Cricetulus griseus: one gene and its partners. The protein of the gene in region 2 purifies or fractionates together with the protein of the main gene of each other region. This does not show direct contact. Links are inferred from orthologs where the notes say so. Each region holds a gene or a part of one and is shown on either strand. Other genes may lie near its edges. The genes, in order: Nepro, Npm3 and Ncl.

Region 1 (6,776 bases), on a different chromosome or scaffold from region 2:
TCTCACTGGCTGTCCCAGGTCCATACTACTCTGTGCATTGTTCTTCATTTGTTCAGATGTTTTAGAAATTCTATCTAGAGTGTCTTCACTGACCTTTGGTAGTTGTTCTTTCATTGTAAACAGTTTATTTAGCAACTTAGTTACTCCTTTAGTGGCAACAGCTTCAGGCGGTTTTCCCTTAAAGAGTTCCACGTAAGGTGGCCCTAGAAAATCAGTGACATCAGAAGGAAAGGCATACTCTTTGAAGTAAGGCATGGGATGAATCCTGGAGACCTCCTGAAGCAACTGGAACAATGGCTCGTATAAGGAAACCAGCCTCCTTAAAAGTCCCTTATGGAGAACCCTAGAAAGAAACAGAAGCTCATGAATCCGCTAATAACATCGTCTGCAGATATGCAATAAACACAAGGCCCAAAACAGAAAATAAAGAGCTATCAAGTTCTGCAAATATAGATTAAACAAAACCAAACAAAATGCCTAAGGTGTGTATTTGCAAACTGCCAGATTAATCCACCCCAAACACAAAAATCTAAATATTAAACACTACACAAAAAGAACTTCCTAGAAACGTGTCAAATAAGTGCACACAAAAATCCTATGGTTATTTTATTGAGATGAGATTTCAGGTGCATTTCAAGTTCTTCACATTTTTGTGTTTTGGGATTTCTAAGCATAAACCTTTGTTTTAATCAGTAAAATGTAAATTATTTCTCATTTCAGAAAAAGGTAAAAGTTAAACATTTTAAAATAATATGATTAGCAAGCCCAGCTTGGGAGTATACACCTACAACACTTGGGAGGCTAAGGTAATAGAATCATGAATTCAGAGCTAGCGTGGGCTACACAGTAAGAGCCTCTCTCAATTTTTTTATTAACAAAGTAACATTAGCAATTCAAATGCTATTACTTCTGATTATGAATAAGCAGAATGAAAAGAAAACAAAATACAAATGAGATATCTGGGTTAAGACATGAAAGCAAGGTTTATGTTTGATGGTAGAATCTTCTGGGTTTACTTTTATTGTTTTGACAGTTTTTGCTATATTCAAATTAGAGCTAATGATCCAATTCTGTGTCTGCTTATCCATCAAACCGTTTTATGCTACACAAACTCACACAAGAAAATGTCTTGGGGGGAGGGGTGGAGATGGGTCAGAAGCAGTGGCTGCCCTCCGAGAGGTCCTGAGTTCAAGTCGCCAGCAACCACATGGTAGCTCACAACCATCTATAGTGGGATCTTCTGGCACAAAGGCATACATTTAGATAGAGCACTCATACACATAAAATAAGCAAGTAAATCTTTTTTTTAAGAGCTCTTAAAAAAAGGAAAATGCCTTTTTTTAGTGGGTGAGTATTACTAGTGTTATTTACACTAACCAAATATGCTTCTAAAGCAGTCGTGTGTTAGGCAGAAGAAAAGTCTAGAGCATACAGGGAAGGTCAAATTGTATTTCTAATTGCTATTAAAATTAGAAATCAGGTGTCAGAAAGAATCAAGATATGGACACCACAGGAACAGCAGCTTTTTCAAAAGCCTACTACAATATTACTACCACTGCCACCACCACCATCATCATCATTATTATTATCACTATTACTATTATTATAATCTTAGGTCCTAGGGATTCACTTTCTGAGTTACTCAGTATCAGGCTAGTTGTATGGTTTCAGAAGCAAAGCCCATTCCTCTGGCATAACCACCAGCCCTCAGCTTGCAATCTTTAAACTGTCATAAGAAGATAGGCAACCCACACCTTCAGATCCCGGGGCCAATAGTGTGAAATGAAATTGTGAGAACACTAATAAGAAACAGGTCAGCTTACAATCTGCAAATAAACTGTCATAGGAAGACAGAAAAGAGCATGTCTTCAGATCCTAGGGCCAACGGTGTGAAACGAAACTGAGCAAACATGAAAAAGAAATGAAACACAACTGTAGAAAGGAAAACATACCATAACCTGCTCACCAGCCCAATCATCACAAGGTTCAAAATAATGAATTCTTGCAGTCCTAAGTGCTTCACGATCAACCTGAAGAATCAGTTTAGGTTGGAAAAATAAAACCAAAGGAAGATTTGTTAGTTAAAATGACGAAAGAAATAAATTGGACGTAAAGAAGACGGTGAAGGTATTAAAGTCCTAGCATGGCAATAACAACACAGTACACTAAAAACAGAGAAATGTCTATTCTACTAGAGCTCCTATTACTACAGTTAGTATGTGGGAGTAAGAATTTCTAATGGTTAAACTCTTAGAATACATGCTAGGTAGGCTCATGCTAGGCACGGGCTATACCCTTCTAGCACGGGCCAACTCTTCTAGCAGTTGCTAGAAGAGGAGCCAAAAGGCAACGCTTTAAGAATTCCCACAGGTTACCCCACCTTATAGCACAGCTTTTAAACAGAGGCTATAAAGATACCCAAACAGGCCCATTCCAAAGAAGGTGTTCCCATAATCAAGGATACCGAAATGCCTTGCAGCAGCAGTCCAACAAGCGCAGTAACAACTTGCAGCCTCCCAAAACCTTCATCAGCACCACCTCCACCACCGGCTGGCTGGGGACAACACGGTTTTCAGTAGCTCCTGGCTGGGTTTCACTTGACATAAACAGAAAAGGACATGACTTTCATTTTTAAACACATTTCTACAGCACTATCCAAGTGAAGGCTTGTTTTAGGCTCAGCCTGAGGTGGTTATGCCTATCAGCAACCAACTGTTCTTTCACTGTAACCTACTGTGAGCCACATTTCCATGTCCCACCAGTCCCTCCCATCAATCAACAGGTGCCCCTTATTAAAACATAATGTATAGATCTTGGCATAGTTGGTTATAGCTCAACACCAAGCAGAGAATAGCAAAGACATCCTGACAAAGCAATGGGCCACCTACTTGGCAGACAACAACTGAGACAGGTCTTCAACTGAGCCCTCCAAATTCATGTTTTTCAAACGCTTTAAACACTGTTCTACCTGAAGGAGGAAGATGGGCTCAAATTAGAATGTGTGTAATACAACAGTGTCACAGATATGACCAAGAATGCAAAGAAAGCAAACAGAAGGAGGAAGATCCATTTAAATTAGTATGCATGTAATACAGCAGTGTCACAGATATGACCAAGAAGAATGCAAAGAAAGCAAACATTCACAGTATGGAAATGTGCCGCATAAGACCTTCTCATTTAAGGACAAGGAAACCCAAATCCCAAAGCAATTGCTTCTGCTTACAAATATGAAATTAAACCAACCCAACAAATCTCTCAATTCAAGAAATTACTATGTGCCAAGTACTCGATGCTATGAAGGGATCAAAATGAGTATGTCTTAATATTATAATCTGTTGAGGGAACATACTTATAGCAGTGAACCTAGTAAAACAAGATAGCCAATTCTTTACTCAGTTTCAATAGTCTGTAAACACCAGAAATGAAGAAAGTGACTTAGTCCTAGAACAAATCTATCCTGAGCACCTAACTGCATGCAAGGCATGTTGGGAGACAGCGTGGTATATGATACATCCCAATTTCAAGTAGTAAGGACAGATAACACACAAAGTACTATCTTAAAGCTACAACAGGTATGCTTGATTTAAAATCGCAACCTCCCCTGCTCTGCTTTTCCCTGCAGCACTCTTACCAGCTGGCATAGCCAGTTACTGGCTGACTGGCTGTCTGCCTGCCCTTGTAAGCTCCCTGTGGACAATATACTCATCCATTTTGTTCACCAGTGTAATCCAGCTCTTAGAACAGGGCTTAGTGTTTTTTTCTCAGGAGAAAACAAGCCATGCTGCTTGTTTATACAGCATACAGAATGCTGTATAAACGCCCTCTCAGGAATGCCTACCAAGGGCCCTCCCTGGACTGCACCTGCACTTTGGAGGATGTAAGGCTCCTGATGGGAACTGCTATTGATGAGTCCCAACCTTGCCAGAGCTACAGATACTACTAAAATCCAAATCATTGTTACGGACTCTACTTCAACATAGTTCAACCCTGACATTCTCTGGGGCTGGCTCCTATCTTTTGTAATTTCTAAGTCTAGACACCATCTTTTAAGATAGGAAATTACAATGAGTGAAATACGGTTTGGAGGAGGGTAAGAGAGGAAGGGAAGGGAAAAGGCAGTTAAGAACTTCAGCAAGAAGGTAGTGAACAAGTTTGCTCTTGGTTTAGAAGACCTGGGTTAAAGCAGCCCCAGAGAAGACAACTTAGGGAAAGACAGTGATCCTCTTTGAAGACAGCATCCTCATCCCTTGGGCCTTAAGCAATGGGAGTATAGCTAACCAGAGAGAAAGAGTCTGTACAGAAGAGACTATGTCTTTTTATTGCTGCATATCCAACACCAAGTATGATGTCAACAGAGAACTTTGTGAAAAACACATAAGTACTGGAAAGATGGCTCTCACACGAGTGGGCAGCACACTGAGCTTTGAAAGGGTACTTGCAGGACTGGCAAAGAGTGTGTGAATGGCACATAGAGAACCCACCTCCAGCAGCTCTCTGCCATGGAGTCATGGAGCTAAAGGCCACAATACTTTCTCAGTCTCCAAAACTTACATGAAAGCACTTCACATCACTGCGTACCATAAACCACTCACAGCAACACACTGCTGACGACATTATGACCCCACAAGAAGTCAACCACAACACTAAGCCACAACTGTTTTCATTTTTAAGATTTTAGGGTTTAAATTAGTTTACTTTTATACTAGGCAAAGGCACTGTTAAAGACTGTAATAGTAAAAATTAAACTGGAAAGAATTGAAATATACTTCTTTTTTGAGATTTTTTTATTGTTGTTGTTTGTTTTGTTTTGTTTCTTTTAGACAGGGTCTTTCTACATAGACTTGGTTGTCCTGAAACTCACTATACAAACCAGGCAGGCCTTAAACCAACAGAGATTAATCAGTCTCTGTCTCCCAAGTGCTGGGATTAAAGGTGTGCACCAGCTTTGAAATATATTTCTTGATCATAAATTACTTTTTGAAAATATTTTGGGAAAATAAAAGGCCAAAATATCCAACACGTAATTGTGTCTTGTAGACTTATGAATCAAAATAATTTATGAACTTTCCATAAATAACAAAATAGTAAGTGGCAGTGTGATCCTCATGTTCGTCAGTACTGGGCTGCATGTGGAACGGAGCTTCCCCTCACCTGCCGGAGAGCTAAATGGGGCTTGTGGCGGCCCATTCTGTTGTGATTGCTGTAGAGAACGGAGCATAATACATCCACTTCCGCATCTAAGGTTTTGCTCTTGATTGACTGTGTGACAAGGTGGCATCCTTTAATGACAGCCGCAATGCAAATATCTAAAGCAGAAACAGTTAAAACAAGATTCAGTATGCATGTCTACATCTACTGCATCAGATGAGAAATACTCTGAAAGGAACATTCTGACTTATTTGCCTTAAAGAAAAATATAAGAAAGGATTCTGAGTATTAAGAAATTGGAAAATGATATCAGGTGATCTATAAGAGAACATTTGTTGAACATGAATGTGTATTGTCTCTTTTTGTTTGCTTGCTTTGTTTTTCAAGACAGGGTTTCTCTGTAGCTTTGGTGGCTGTCCTGGAACTCACTCAGTAGACCAGGCTGGCATCAAACTCACAGAGATCCGCCTGTCTCTGCCTCCCGAGTGCTGGGATCAAAGGTATGTGCCACCGCCCACCCTGGCTGTGTAGATGTCTTTACATCACTTTTACCTTGACATGAGTACTGTGACTACTCTACAGTCATCATCTGGGGATGATCACTTATACCCCAAAAATACAAAAGCTGGGCACATGTTGCATCTGTCAATGAAACCCTCTGCAGGTAAGCAAGACAGAGGGAATAAAGTCACAGCCTGCAAAGTAAAAGGAACTCTACTTTGGATACCACTTTTTGATAAGAATATATAATATACTCAGCCCTCTATCAGTAAGTGCCATCTTTGCATTCAACCAACCTCACACTGAATACAGTCCCCACAAATTCCATCTCTACTGTATGTCAATAGCAGTCACATTGTATTCAGTATCATAAGCAACCTACAGATAGGGTTAATGTATACAGAAAGATGAGTATTGGCCACACTGTAAAAACTATCTATCTAACATGTAATAAAAGACGAGCACATGCCCATTTTTTTAATAGAAGCATTCCTGGAACCAAAATCCCCCCATGGATATCAATAGGGTTTGGGTTCTTTTACATTCAGAAAAGAGAAACCACCAGGGCCACTGGAAGTTGTAGTATGTAACTTGGAGGGGGGGGGGGGGAGTTTGTACAGATTTTTCCTAATCTTAACATGAGCAGCTGTGAAGCAGGTATAATGGGCCGCCTGGTGGCTCAAAAAGGAAACACAAATATTCTTAAATGGAATAATGTTCTCTGCCCCCCTCCAACCATGTGGAGAATTTAAATTAGCTTCCTGGGTGATGACCAGTTGATGAATTTCCCATAGTATTGTTTTTTTAAATGTGACTAGAGAGAGAATTAGAAATTTAAAGCGCATGGGAAATATAGATGGGAAGAGAGGTGAAGTGATGTCATAGGTTGTATTTAACAATTATGAACAAATGTGTTTATTTAATATTAGTGACAACTACTATCATTTAACTGCCATACTAGGCAGTGTTACTAATGCTTCATAGTTATCAACTCTTTCCTTCCTCAAAACAGTCCCAAGAAACTGGTACTATTTTTAATTCCCATTTTGGAGTGGGCAAAAAACTCAGTTTTAGAAATAACAAATTTTCTTAGCTGACAGTCATAGGACCGTTGGCAGCTTGAAAAA
Region 2 (7,142 bases):
CTATCTCTGCCTCCCACCTCTGAGAGACCAAATTCTTTTACATGTGGAAAGTCCTAGGAACTGGATGGAGCATCGCCCAGATCTTCGGGCTTCTTCTAGTCTCCCCAAAATTCCGGGTCTTTTTTGGGGGGAAGGATAGATGCCCCCACACACAGTTGGCACCCAGAGCAGTCAGTGACTGACAGATGCAAATGTTTCTCGGGGCTCCCGCAGGCCACTCTCCCTCCCTCTCTTGCTAGCCTGCCTCCCGGCCAGCTCCCTCCTTCCTTTATCTTATCAAAGCCCCGTAATTACAATTGCTATTTTGTTTCCTTGAATCTGCAATCAGAGCTCCCGCGCCTAGATGAGGGAGCGCCTGTCATCCTGATCTCTGAGTGACAGCCTGGCCACCTTTCCCGGCCGCCCCCACACTTCGCAAACACAAACACACACATACACACACTCCCTCCTGCAAACACAAACACACACTCTTTGCCAACACAAACGGCCCTCTCTGCAAACATGCGCTCGCCAGGCCCCTACCGCAGCCCTGGCCTGGCCACAGGCCCCTCAAATCCACACCCAGGCCACCACGCCTGCAGGTTGAAGTGACTCACACCTCCAGAGCTCCGCGTTCAAAGCGCTGCAGAATCTATTCCGACGGTTCAAATGCAAATCCCCGCGACAGCGTTAGCCACTTTGCACCAAGATCCAGAGCCACCTTTCTTCGTACCAACTCCCAATACCGTGTTGCCCCTTCAGCATTCTCCAGACACAATCCTATCCCACAATCCGCTAGCTGTCTGAGGCCAGAGAATTGGCAGCACTCCTGTTGTGTGCTGAGAGTGCAGAAAAGGGGTCTCCTGGAAAGGTGTGATCTAGAAGGGGGGAAAAACAATTCCCAAGTCTGTCTGCTCCGCGCCACAAGGGGCCGGGAGACTCCAGAACTAGAAGGCAAATGTGGATTGGGCTCCCACTGCGGGCAGAACTCTGCTCGTAGTTCACCCACCGGGAGACCCACTGGGAAAACAGGCGAGAAATACAATGGGCGATCAACGGAGTCACAGGGGGTAGACACTGATGGTGGGGGAGTACGCGCAAGGGGTAGCCGAGTGATGGCTAGTCTCTGCATTTATGCACGTACCCAGGGGTTGGAGGAAGAAGCCGAAAGGATAAGGGAATACCACCAACTAACTCCTCTCTCCTAGCTCGAGTATTTCGTGTAAACGAAAGCGTGCATGTATTCAAAACTTAGTGACTTATCCCGCCTTAACCTTAGCGGGCGTTAGCCCCTAGGGAGCGTTTCCACAAGCAGTTTTAAGCAAGCCCACCAGAGGGCGCTAGTTCTGCCTTCCGCTCCAGTTCGAGACTCCGCGAATGACTCCTGGCAGGGTCGGTGGTGGAAACACCTCGAGGTTAGTTAGGTACTGGGCTTGGAGACCCTGATCTCCGAAACACAGAAGGGCGTCTTTTGTCTTCCACTTGAGAAAGGGAGGTTGAAAACGTACACCTAACTCATCACATAGATAAGGAAAAACTTGTAAGGCTAAGAGGTACCACTTCTCTCTCCTCCTTACCCTACCCCTGGAGCCCAAGCTGGCCTCCCAACTCTCAGTTTTCATGTTTTAGCTTCCCAAGCTTTGCATGTGCTACCACGCCTGGGTTAGGTACTGCTTTCTATGCTATGGGGGACACCCTTGAAGTCGACCACCTGCCCCCAACCCAGCCTCTGTATTATTGACAGGCCCCCTACTTGCTGGTCAGCTGGTGTGAATTAACCTGATTCTCTCAGGCCCTGTTCTCTGTCCATCTTCAGCCTGTCTGGGGAGGTCACCTTTTTGTTTGTTTGTAGGGCATTGACCCCCCCCCCAACACAGCTGAACTGCTGACCCCAGAGCTGGGTGCACACAGTCCTCACACAAGCAACCCCCTTTCTCTTCGTGGCATAGCAGTAGCCAGTCCCCAGAAACACCGATTCTAGGGATGAGACAGTGTGGAGCTCTGGGAGGTAATGACCCCTCAGCAGAGGCGTCTGATTCCCGTGAGCTCCCTTCTGCCCCCATATGCCAGGCCACCCGGATTCTGGTTTCTCTGTCACCCAATCTGGCCAGTTCCCTCCATCTGGCCCTGGGAATCAGGTTTCTAAGGACCCTGCTCTACTCAACCTGCCTCAAAGACCAGAAGAGCCAGGACAGGTCCCAACCCCACCCCTCACAGGCTCTCTCCCTGGGCTGAGCCCCCTCATGGGGCTAGGGATGCACATTCCTCAGGTTTCTTCAGCCCACTTATCTGTCCCTCTCTGCCCATCAGCCTGAGTGCTGACAGAGGCCCAGACCCCTTGTTTGGAAGCTGATAACCTCCTGCGATGGCCCTCCCCCACCTGCAGAAACACCGAAGAGGCGGCAACGGGAGGTCCCTCTGCTGCAGGGCAGAAGGGACTTTTAGGCCCGAGTTAGGCCCTGGGGAACAGGAGGCCACATTTTCTCACCAGCCCTGGAACTAGGACCACTCTGTGCTGCCACAGTGCCACCTTGTGGTCCCTAGGGAAACCTCATGGTTGGAAAAAGCCACACAAGAATTGCAAAAAAACCACATACCACTTTATTTAGATCTTTACCTAAAAATGTAAAAAGTGTTAAAAACGTTGTTCTGAACTTTATTTTTTTTCTTTTTTTTCAGTGCTGAGAACTTAACCTGGGGGTTCACAAAACTTTCAATCTGGGCAGGTGGGGGGGGGTCAATGTTCAAAGGTCATCCCACCCCAATAGAAAAGGGAAGCTTCAGGCAACCTGTAGGAGTAAACACAGGGCCCTGTGGAGAACGCAGTTCTCTTAGCACCGGTCCAAGTTCCTCCCACCTGCCCCTTCCCAAACTCTCCTCTTCAACGAGAAAAACATTTACAATTCTTGAAACTTGTCCAGGAACATACGGTGCATGATGCCTGTAGCAAGCGGCTAACCTGAGAAAACAAAGTAAGAAGTCAGGGTCTGAGCCCTCACCTGCTCCCCTAACTTCCCAGTTCCCCTCCTACTCACCGGAGAGGGCTAGGGCCTGTCCCTGTGCTTTCTGGCAGGAAGGATGCCACACAGCTTGACTTCCCCCTCTTCACTCTCATCATCCTCACTTTCTTCAGAAAGATCATTGTTTATACAAACTGTGGAGACACACGGTCAGACGGGAGGTTAGAGCCAACCGTCCTTACACCACATGCCCGGTCCTCAATTCCCTGGAGTGCTAGGGGGACGGGAACCCCTTCTTCCAGTCTAGATGGGAAGGACAGACGTCAGACACTACCCCGAAGAAGGAAAAAGAGGGCCTGCCCACATCATTGGGGCTGCGGCACCTGGGACAGGTTACCAGAAGTTCATAGGCTTGGGCGGGGCAGTGAAAGGCACATAATACTGGAACCACAATCTGGGACTCAGGATGCACTGGTGGAGAGATGGGAGGGCCCAGTCTTCTCACCAATCCGATGCCGGCCAGTGATGCGCACAGGCCCAGAACCCGACTTCAGGCGGAAGGTTACAGGTGGTTGGAGCTGGAAATCATCCAGACTGAGCTGGAAGACAGGAATGAAGGCCTGATCCACTCTGGCCCAGCCACCTTGGGACTGATACTGAAGTTCTCAATTATGCCCCACCGTACTCCAATGAACGGATGGCCACAACTCACCATGGGCTGGCAAGATAACCTCAGGTTGGCCACAGGAACTGCAATCTCCTGGTTGTCATGATCCCGGGCCACAACTTCCACCACATTACACTCTTCCTTGGCCCCCTCGGTAAGGCACAGCTGAAAGCGCATACAGAACCTCAGTCTCAAATGAGGGCCCGCACCACAGAGAAGACCGCTAACCCTGAGGCCTACCCAGACCCGGGGGTGCGCGGGGAGGGGCCCAGAGAAGTAGCCCGCTGAGGGTGGCCTCGAGCGACTCCCGGCCCAGGGGTGGGGGAGCGGGAGATGCGTGCATGGCCCCAGCGCCCTCTCTCCAGCCCCTCACCATGTTCAACGCCAGCATGTGTTCCGTGTCCTCCTCTTCCTCAACCTTGAAAGTGAAGGAGCGGGTGTGGCCGGAGAGCTCACAACCTGCAAGAGCCCGGCGTTCGTTCGCGTGAGGAGCACGCGCGGAGGGCCGCGCGCGAGGGCGCTACACACCCCGCAGCCCCTCCCGCCCGGCCACGTGCCGCCGCGGGCTGACGGGCCGCCTGGCTGCCAAGCGTTCCTTCTTGAGGCACCTGGGGGGCGAGCTTCTGGGCCTGCAGGCCGAGGGCAGGGCTAGGGAAAGCCGGCAACCCTCGGCCCACACCCCCGGCGCCCGGCCGCGGTCCTCACTCGCCCCCGAACCACCCTCTGCCCCGCCAGTCTTCAATACCGAAGAAGAAACTGTCCATCGTGACGGGAGCCGGGACCCGCAGGCCGCCCACACCCCCGGCCCGGGCTCGGCTCTCTTGATTCAAGAAGGCTAGAGCAGCAGCAGCGCCGGCCGCCATGCTGAAACGGCCTGAGAAGCCCCGCCCCCGCACGCACCGCACGCCGCACCGCGGCCAGTTCCGGCCCCGCCCATTAAAGGAGCCGCGCGCAGCCAGAGTGAGTCGAACCGAACGCCGCACGCCGCACGCCGCACGCCGCACGCCGCACGCCGGACGGGCGGGAGCAGCCGTCAGCGCTTCCGCAAGGACAGGTAGCCCGGCCTCAGAAGACAGCTCGTCACATCCAGAGACCCTCTCTTCCACCCCGCAGTTACGGAGCGACCTTACTGTCATACGCCTCCGTGCCTCCTCGTCCAGAGACGCTGTGGTTCAGGGCAGCCATCCTCCCCTTCCTCAGGGATTCCCACCCTCACCTTGGCCGCGCTAGACGCCCCTCAGATAAGCTCCCTGATCGGGATGGACGCTGCTCCTATCCAAGCCGCCCTGGAGCCCCACTTCCCGGCAGCTGAGGCACACCCTCCTCCTTAGGACTCTCCTCACAGAACTTAGGCTACACACCCCCACACCAGTATCCCCTATTTAAGGAGAACAACTGCACTCCCTACAGAGAAACTCAGAAGCAACCCCTCTACTTCACAGATTGTAACTGTAGTAGGAGGGCAACTAACTAAAGACAAAGGAACCTTTCTGAGAAAAACTGCAAGTTAGTTCTTTGCTGAGGAAGGCAGGAAGGAGCGCTGTCTTCAAATTCCAGGCTACATTGAAACAGCTTTGGGGAGAAGATTGCTTGCCTTAGCTGAGGCATCAAGAGATGGGAAACAGACGGAGAGCAGAGAAAAGTCGAACACTATCACACAAATTCACTTCAAGTTTTATTTTGCCTCTTGCATGGTCTTCAGATAGTTTTACAGTTTGTTTTCTACAGAAACTGAGCTGTGATTCAAACAATCAATGAAATGATATTCCAACCTTAATATTCATAACCATGTAAGTTGGCACAGCACTTTATCCCAGAGCGATGATGGTATAAACCTGGACATGTTTCAGGTATGTTCAGATCATTCAAAGTGATTACTGAAAGCCAACATGAAACAAAAAGCAACTTGTTTAAAATTCCTGATTCCATAAGAAACTGACTCTGAAACCCTCCAAATAAAAGGTGGTAATTCCCACTAGAGTATGGGGCTGTACTCAAGAGAAAGGTGAGGAACATTAAATGGTTTTAGTATCTAGTAAAAATTTTGCCCTTCACCTCAGCCTTCAAAACCAAACTTGATTTCAGTTTTCCAACATAGCCTATCACAGGTTTTTACCCTAAGAGGCTTCTAAGCAAGCACTCTCTCCTGGGCCTCAGTTGGAAGTCACCAGGTACACTAGTGCTAAATTTAAGACTATCTCAAAAGCTCACACTGGAGTTCTATAAAAGTAAATGTTCAAGTTTCCTTTTTCTCTCTCCCCCCTCAGCTCAGAGTTCAAAAGCTGATGAAAAACTTGAGAGAAGATAACAAAATACTGTTGAAATCTAGAGAGAAGACACTAGCTAGCCATGATTTAAAAAAAAAAAAAAACCCTGCAGAGACCATCTGCCAGCTTCATGCTCAAACCCTTAAATTCACCAAATCTAAATTAAAATACATGAAGTTTTCAGAACTTCTGATTAAAAGAAAAAGTATACTTATGGTTAACATATACTTATTCTTTCTTTTAAAAATTAGATACAAACATGCAAGAATTAAAGACTGATTCAATTAAACCAGTAGTTAACAGGTCTTGAGATAAAATGACAACTGCTCTAAGGGCAGAAGAGACGAGTCAGTCCCTTTACTTACCCTTACATGACAACAATGTCAGAACATTTCACATGCGTATCTGCAATGAAGGTTAACCTCCAGAAGTAATGCACTTCCCAATAGATTTGAGTCCTATAAAGCTGACACTCCCCCCAATAGTCGTGGCCTATTCCTATGTGGGAGGCATTTTAAAGACAAACGTAAAGGAAATCTACCATCCACTGGTTTACATTATTCAAAGTGCCACCCTAAACCAACACCTTTCATTTTCAAAGGAAAAAAAAATATAAAAACAGTAAACAAAAAGAACAGTCAGGTTACAGCTATAGTCTATATACAAAGAAATTTACAAGTTTGTCCATTTAGGCCTTTGCCACAAACAAATGCACATTTGTCCCTACAAAGCACAACTGCCTGAACCAACATTATAGGAGATAGTTAGCCAGAGCTTTACAAAAAGCAGAAAAATTGCCCCAAATTGGAACCCCACTAATTCTTTGTCATTCCTGCCATGTCTCCAAAGAACAGAGACAGTTCATTCAGCACCACGGAGAACAAAGAGTGATCTTCATTACTCGTAGGTGAGAAATGCAACCACACTGGATGCAGAAAATAGTGCTGACTACATTTATTTGAGACCCTCTCCCTACAGAGCCCCATAAGAGGTCCTGACACCTAACACAAGACCCAAAGGAGAGGCACACCACATCTTTTTCCCGCAGGATATGCAGCAGTACTATCTTCCAACCAGTGAGCAGTCTGAACAGGGGATGGTGAGTTCTATAGTCATCTTTGTTTCCAATTCAACTGGCTTATCTGTCACGGCTCCAGACACTGAACTGTGTGAAGACCTCAACCACCAACCACAAGGTGGGGTTAAGAGACTCTGGACAGTTCACAGTGCCAACCAACGTCACAGGCTTCGACCAAGTATAACCACATC
Region 3 (7,449 bases), on a different chromosome or scaffold from region 2:
TTGTATCAGGTAGCACTAAGATAATTTTTATTACTCTGTATTTCATTGGTCTTTACTAATAAACCAAGTCCCCCTTTTCTCACACACACAAAAAAGAAAACATCCCTCTCTTTTCCTGTACTCTGTGCTGGTGATTGCACTGTAATTGTACTCCAAAAGCACTGGATTACAGACATACACCACCATACTCAGCTATTTGCTCATTCATTCAGATAGGGCCTTGTTTTGTAGCCCAGGCTGGCCTGACACTCAGTTACTCAGGTTATAAATTCAGGCCTCAAATTCATGGTAATTTTCCAGCCTCACCCTTTCAAATGCTGTGATGATAGGCATAAGCTACTGTACCTAGCTCTTTTGTACCTTACTTATGTGGTTTATTTATAACCGATTTTTCAATTAGTATTTGATGAAATCCAGGTGTAGGAGGAACACACCTGTAATGCCAACGGTTAGAAGGCAGAGGCAGAAACACAATTTCCAGGCTAACCTGGGCTACATAACAAGACTATCTCAAAAAGAAAAAAAACCAAAACAACATACTGAGATGTGATATGCTATCAAAGCTGGAACTAAAAGAGATGTGCACAGTAAACAAATAGCAGGGCCTTTAATGTGGGGAAAGGAACCTAGAAATCTCATGATTGTTTTTGCCTTTTGGTCTTGATTTCAGTCCTCTCTCCTTGGGACAAGAAGATGACTCAGTGGATAAAGTGCTTGCTGTAAAAACATGAGGACTCAAGTTCAGATCCCCAATATCCCTGTAAAAAGCATGGGCTGGCAGCACATAACTGTAACCCTCGTGCTAAGTGGTGGTGGGTGGAGGGAGCAGAGACGGGGATCCCTGGCATCTGCTAGCTTGGGGAGGTAGCTGCTAAGTGCTAGCCTGGCATGCACAAAGCCAAGGTCAATCCTCAGAGCCACATAAAACCAAGGGAGGTAGCACACACTCATAATACCAGCATTTGGGAAGCAGATGAAAGAGATCAATAGTTCAAGGACAGCCTGAGATACATGAGACCCCACCTTAAGAAAATCAGATAGTGAGCAACAGCATTCAGGCATCTACCTCACCCCTGTCCTGTCTCCTTACTAGTTCGAGGACTGCACAAATTGACTCTTTGTCCTCATGTTTGTGAGCAGTGATGCTTTTAGCCTATTTTGGATACATTTATGAATTTAAGATTTCCAAAGAGCTGGAATAGAGTCTGGTACCTGGAAAGCTTCACATGTGTATTAGGTATTGTTGACCAGATTGACTACACAGTAACACGGCTCGACACCAAGCTGTCCCTTTTGCTGCTGCTTCACTTAAACTGTGTTCTTTTTTGAGACAGGGTTTCTTTCTGTAGCTTTGGAGCCTATCCTGGCACTCGCTCTGGAGACCAGGCTGGCCTTGAACTCAAAGAGAATCACTTGCCTCTGCCTCCCGAGTGCTGGGACTAAAGGAATAGACCACCACCACCTGGCTAACTACTTGTGTTCTTAAATCACATTTCACATACAACATTCTGCCTCTACGTATGCCTTGCACGTCAGAAGAGGACACCAGATCTCATTATAGATAGTTGTGAGCCATCATGTGGTTGCTGGGAATTGAACTCAGGACCTCTGCAAGAGCAGCCAGTGCTCTTAATTTCTGAGCCATCTCTCCAGCCCCTAGCAAGTACCTTTTAACACTATTATGTGCCAGGCAATACTGTAGGCACCAGGAATACAGCAGACAACAGTTTGTGTTCTCCTGGCTGGCTGGGGAAAGGGCAAATTAACAATAAACAGCCAAGAAAAATACTAGGTAGGTGATACGACCCAAGAGCATAAGTGAGGGTCCAAGAGTGAGTCTCCTAGTGGCACTTTACACCAGAGGTCTGAGGAAGGCCCCATACAGGTAGATCGGATCGAAAAAGAGAAGTCATGCCAGTGTTGCTGAGATCCATCTGTGTCATCTCACAGCTCACCTGTCTCCTCCCAAGTGCCTTTAGCCTCCTCTGCTTGGAAATACCCAGGGTCTTGGCTCACACCAATCATTTTTCCTGTCCCTCTACCCAGGAGTCTCTCTTGGGGTCCATCTCAAGGTGTGACCCTTGTCACTGTCTCTATAAAGACAAAGCCTCCACATCACTGCACTGGTTCCCACCTCATGCCCTGACCATAGAGCATTTTCGTGGAGCTGTGTCCTCCACCGCGTTGCGAAGGACTTAGTAACAAGCATCACGCATTAACTATTTCTACTTGTCTCCAAAGACCCGTGTTCAGATAGAAAACGTGGGACCCAACACATCCTGTTTGCACTAAAATCTTCCGAGATGGGCCAAGGCGTGGTGGCGCACGCATTAATCTCTACACGCGTGAGGCAGGCAGGTCGAGGCTAGCCTGGTCTACACAGTGAGCTCCAGGACAGCAAGAGCAAATAGTTAGGCCCTGTCTCAACATCCCCGACAAAATCTCCACAGGTGATCTATCAACCAATATCATCAGTTGGCGGAACCCTGACTATGCAGAAAATTAGGTTTTAGATGCCCAGGAGGTACCCTAGAAGGGCTCCAGTATGCCACGCCTGGAACCCAAAGTCCCACACACAGGTCTAATCCACTCACGGCAACTCTGTCCTTCAGGCCATTGAGGGAAACCGTGAGTGGCCACAGGCCGGCAAAAAACTCCTCCAGCACACACCAGGAAGTCACCTCTCCGAGACCGTCCCCATCAGGAGTTAAATCTACCGCGCGAGGTTGGACATTAAGCGAGCTGTTTGAGCACTGCACACAGGCGCGCACACACGCACGCAACTGCCTTTATTGGGAGCTGTCTCTCAGGAGAACAGCGGCCCGCGGCGCAACACTAGAGCCCCGGGATGTTCTCGGCTCTGCCGAGGGCAGGCCGAGGGCCGCGAGCTGGCCCCAGTGGGCTCTAGGCCCTCAACTTCCGGCGCTCTCCGGCTCCTCAGCGGGAACGCGCGGCGAGCACTTGAGGCCGCCGCGGAGTCCACGGTGGGGCGCAGCTTCCGCAGCGCGGGGGATGCTCGGGCCACCCACCACCCCCCACCCCCCCGGCCACGCGAGCCCGGAGCTCCAGGTAGCAGTCGAGCACTAGGAGGCGTCCGGGCCACGCCGCCATCCCCGAGCCCCTTCCACAAGCCGCGCCAAACGGGCGCGTTGCACCGCGCAGGCGCGGCGAAGGCGAGCCGCTAGGGCTCGCCGAGAAGACGCGCACACCAGCCAGTCAACGTCCGCCTTGCGTAGAGCTAGGCCCGCCCCCAGGGCGCTGCCGTCAGGCCCCGCCCCCGGCGGACCCGCCCCCACGCCGTAGCCCCGCCCCCACGCCGTCCTGGGTTGAAGGCTCGCGGTTGGCCAGGGGGACGGACGCGCGCTCTGGTTGGTGGAGGAGGGGTCACGAGGACGCCGTCGTCGCCTTTCCAGAGGCGATTACTGGGCAGGCTCAGTCTTTTGCCTCAGACGCTAGCTGTAGCTGGCAGTCGCTCGTACGTGCTCCAGAGTCCACCGTGCCCGTCGCTGCCGCCCAGCTCGCGTGGGTTCCCCGAGGCTCTCCCGAGCTGCGCCCTTCGCCGCACGCGCCGTCGTCGCAACCCGCCACCATGGTGAAACTCGCAAAGGTGAGAGGCCTCGCGCGCGCCGACGCGGACGGACGCCTGGGCCTGCTTTCTGAGGGGCGCGCGCGCGCGCGTCGCTCAGGGGAGGAGGGCCTGCGCGCAATCCCGGGCGCGTTCGAGGGCGCCATGCTGGGGAAAGTCTCGCGCGACTAGCGGGAGGTCTCGCGGTGTTTGGCCCCTGACTTGGTGGTGGGGGAGAGCCGAGGCGGGTCCCGGGAGGTGTGTGTGTGTGTGAGCGCGCGCGCGCGCGTGTGTGTGTGTGTGTGTAGGGCGGTGAGATCGGAGCCGCCGCGAGGGGAGAAGGGGCGACAGGCCCGCCGAGGGGAGATGGGACCCAACTCGTGGGCCGGCGCCGGCGTGGCCCCGCCTCCTGGCGCACGTGCTCCGGTGCGCGGCCCGCCACGTGGGTTTTGGCGCTCTGCGTGTGTTGCCCGTCTCGGGCTCGGGGAGTCGCGGGGTACCGGGGAGGGGGACAGCGGGACTGAGCTAGGTGGGTTCCCCGGCGATCCCCAGCGCCTGTCCGTGACGGGCAGGCCAGCACGTGGTGGACACCTGAGGGAGCGCGTGGTGGCCTGCGTGGTACCTCCACGTGGCCCGCCTCCAGAGTGGCGACGTCGGAAGTGGTTCTGTGAAAGACGTGCTCCTCTCCAGAAGGGGCTACCCAAATAGATACCCCTGCCCCGGCAGATGATTTAGAGTGAAATTCAAAGGGCAATGAATGACTAGTAGATTGTCTTCAGTTGTCTCTGGAAGGGAAAGACAAGTTATATAGGTGATTCTCAGGAAAGATTGCCACATATAATAATGCCAATGATGTCACCTGTGCTTAGGGCCTTTAACAATATAGACAGTGGGCATTAAGAAAGAAGATAATGGCGAAACGCAAAATGGCTTACAAATAGGGTATCGACATGATTTTGTGTGCACTTGTGTAGGCCGGCAAAACCCACGGCGATTCTAAGAAAATGGCTCCTCCTCCAAAAGAGGTGGAAGAAGATAGTGAAGACGAAGAAATGTCCGAAGATGAAGAAGATGACAGCAGTGGAGAAGAGGTATACAGCTAATAGGGCAGCGGTGCCCTCCCTTTAATTCCAGCAAGAGGGACGTAGAAGGCAGGCAGTTTTAGTGAGTTCAAAGCCAGCCTGGTCTACAGAGGGAGTTCGGGGACAGCCAAGGCTACACAAGAAACCCTGTCTCAAAAACCAAAAAGAAAAAAAAAGATGTAGAAATAGAATGTGTGTTAATAAAAGTATTCTAAAGCCGGGCGGTTGTGGTGCACGCCTTTGATTCCAGCATTCAGGAGGCAGAGGCAGGCGGATCTTTGTGAGTTCAAAGCCGCACATGGTCTACTTAATGAGTTCCAGGACAGCCTCCAAAGCTACAGAGAAACCCTGTCTCCAAAAACCAAAAAAAAAAATACAGTAGTATGATAACAATAGTTGAGTGACAAGTTCTTTATTGCTATTGAGTAGTTAAATAAGAGTATTACAGTCCACTTGAGAGGGATGTAAATTTCACTCAGGTTTCACATGCTGTATTGAATATTGATTGTAGGCTGTTATTTTTCCCTACATTTTTGGAAAACAGGGTTTAATCCAGTTTGATTTGTTTTCATTCAGATCATGGTCACGTGATTTCATGGTGTTTGGTGAGAAGGACATTACGACTAGAAATTCCCGGGTGTTTTTTTTTGTTTGTTTGTTTGTTTTTTGAATCAGGATCTCAACATGACCCTTGTGGTCTTAGAACTCAACATGTAGACCAGTCTGGCCAAAAATTCTCCTGAATAAAGGCATTAGTCATTGCATGAAGCTAGTTAAGAAACTTAGGGCTTTGATTTAGATGAGAATTGGAGTCAGGGTCTCAATAGTTCAGGAATCACTATATTTATTTTACTCCTATTCCCGTCATGCATGTTTTGTTTTTTAGTGCTGATCCCTATCACTAAAGTAAGCTTTAGCCTATTATATAAGCTTTTATAGAGCAAGTCAGTTTTTAAAATACATCAGATATGGATTGAAGGCTGCTACTTACCAGTTTGCTGAATCTGGTACTTATTAGCACTCCTACTTGTTGGTTCATTTAAAGACATGGTTAATTAATTTCAGGAGGCAGAAGTAGGGATAGTCTTGGAAATCAGGTAAGCTGGGGGTATGTAATCATTATGCTCAGATTTCTTGTTTAGAAGAGCTATATTAGTAATAAGCAAAATTTGGGTTTTGGTGGAACATTTTTCAATGAAAATAAAATGCATACTTGTTATAACTCTGCTTAAGGCTGATGTGTAGGGGTGGAGTTGGAGACCAGTTTCATTTATGAGTGTTTCTTAAACTTGGGTATTTGTGTGATAAGCACCTGCAGTTGTAAGCCATGTATTCTGATTCCAGGGTTTAGGATTTAGTGTGTTGGAGTTAGGGTTAGAGTGTTTATCTGTATTTGTATGAGTGTACTACTAAGCATGCCTGGTGCACTTAGGCTAGAAGAAAACTCTTAGGTTCCCTGGAACTATAGTTAGAGCCATCATGTGGATGCTGAGAACTGACCGTTGGTCCTCTGCTAGAGTAACAAGGGCTCTTAACTGCTGAACCGTCTCTCTAGCCCTTTCACCCCAGGGTTTAACATATACCTAATTCCAGTGTTGAGCTCAAAGTTAGTATCAGTATGTTAATAACATTGGATATACGGAAAGTGCTTATTATTTGTTTTACTTTTAAGGTTGTCATCCCTCAGAAAAAAGGAAAGAAGGCTACAGCAACTCCAGCAAAGAAGGTGGTTGTTTCACAAACAAAAAAAGTTGCAGTTCCCACACCAGCTAAGAAAGCTGCTGTTACTCCAGGTAAAAAGGCAGCAGCCACACCAGCCAAGAAGGCAGTTACACCAGCCAAAGCAGTTGCAACACCTGGAAAGAAGGGAGCCACACAAGCAAAAGCATTGGTAGCAACCCCTGGTAAAAAGGGAGCTGTCACTCCAGCCAAGGGGGCTAAGAATGGTAAGAATGCTAAGAAGGAAGACAGTGATGAAGATGACGATGACGACGATGATGAAGACGACAGTGATGAGGATGAAGAGGATGAGGAAGAGGATGAATTTGAGCCACCAGTAGTGAAAGGAAAACAAGCAAAGGTAGCTGCTGCTGCTCCTGCCTCAGAGGATGAAGACGAGGAAGAGGATGAAGAGGAGGAGGAGGAGGATGAAGAGGAGGAGGATGGTAGGTGGATTTCTGTTTGCAGGATGATTAGGAGATCTTGCCAACAATAATGCATGTAGTTTTCCTGACCACTTCGTGCTTAGATTAGAAAGTCACATTTTGTGCTCATAGTTCTTTCCATAACTTAGCATGCTGTCAGAATTTTATTTCTCTAAGACTTTTTTAGTGTGTATAAGATTCATGTTATCTGGATTGGCAGCAAATGCCCTTGCTTACTAAGCCAGCTCTCTTTCAGACTCTGAAGAAGAAGAAGCTATGGAGATCACACCTGCCAAAGGAAAGAAAGCTCCTGCAAAAGTTGTTCCTGTGAAAGCCAAGAATGTGGCTGAGGAGGATGATGATGATGAAGAGGAGGATGAAGATGAGGAGGAGGATGAAGAAGAGGAAGAAGATGAGGAGGAGGAGGAAGAGGAAGAAGAGGAAGGTAAGCAGATTACATTGAGGTACACTGACCTCAGTAATGTTTAATGGAAGTGCTTACCTACTCATGACACTAAAAATCTTATCCAGAGCCTGTTAAACCAGCACCTGGAAAACGGAAGAAGGAAATGACCAAACAGAAAGAAGTTCCTGAAGCAAAGAAACAGAAAGTGGAAGGTAAGCCTGTAAGATTGGGGACTGTGAGAGGAGATAAAGG

The links.
Region 1: the proteins of Npm3 (region 2) and Nepro purify together in Homo sapiens (affinity purification with mass spectrometry; 4 studies listed by BioGRID and IntAct, with this or other methods). This does not show direct contact. The link is inferred for Cricetulus griseus from reciprocal best matches to the Homo sapiens genes NPM3 and RMP64.
Region 3: the proteins of Npm3 (region 2) and Ncl fractionate together in Homo sapiens (co-fractionation; 4 studies listed by BioGRID and IntAct, with this or other methods). This does not show direct contact. The link is inferred for Cricetulus griseus from reciprocal best matches to the Homo sapiens genes NPM3 and NCL.

Annotation. Positions count from the first base shown.
Region 1 is NC_048597.1:45,715,538-45,722,313, forward strand, and holds part of Nepro (nucleolus and neural progenitor protein), read right to left. Parts: intron 5,307-6,776; coding exon 5,152-5,306; intron 2,969-5,151; coding exon 2,889-2,968; intron 2,597-2,888; coding exon 2,465-2,596; intron 2,031-2,464; coding exon 1,953-2,030; intron 344-1,952; coding exon 1-343. UniProt on the Homo sapiens protein: May play a role in cortex development as part of the Notch signaling pathway. Downstream of Notch may repress the expression of proneural genes and inhibit neuronal differentiation thereby maintaining neural progenitors.
Region 2 is NC_048596.1:15,814,180-15,821,321, reverse strand, and holds Npm3 (nucleoplasmin-3), read right to left. Parts: upstream 4,512-7,142; 5' UTR 4,470-4,511; coding exon 4,352-4,469; intron 4,066-4,351; coding exon 3,980-4,065; intron 3,772-3,979; coding exon 3,652-3,771; intron 3,539-3,651; coding exon 3,445-3,538; exon of another isoform or gene 3,323-3,444; intron 3,134-3,322; coding exon 3,024-3,133; 3' UTR 3,015-3,023; intron 2,939-3,014; 3' UTR 2,916-2,938; coding exon of another isoform or gene 2,909-2,915; 3' UTR 2,558-2,908; downstream 1-2,557. Other genes in the region: Fgf8 (fibroblast growth factor 8), read right to left, coding at 2,909-2,915; Oga (protein O-GlcNAcase), read right to left, coding at 7,113-7,142. UniProt on the Homo sapiens protein: Plays a role in the regulation of diverse cellular processes such as ribosome biogenesis, chromatin remodeling or protein chaperoning. Modulates the histone chaperone function and the RNA-binding activity of nucleolar phosphoprotein B23/NPM.
Region 3 is NC_048595.1:438,026,188-438,033,636, reverse strand, and holds the start of Ncl (nucleolin), read left to right. Parts: upstream 1-3,427; 5' UTR 3,428-3,589; coding exon 3,590-3,607; intron 3,608-4,539; coding exon 4,540-4,656; intron 4,657-6,319; coding exon 6,320-6,812; intron 6,813-7,047; coding exon 7,048-7,236; intron 7,237-7,322; coding exon 7,323-7,409; intron 7,410-7,449. UniProt on the Homo sapiens protein: Nucleolin is the major nucleolar protein of growing eukaryotic cells. It is found associated with intranucleolar chromatin and pre-ribosomal particles. It induces chromatin decondensation by binding to histone H1.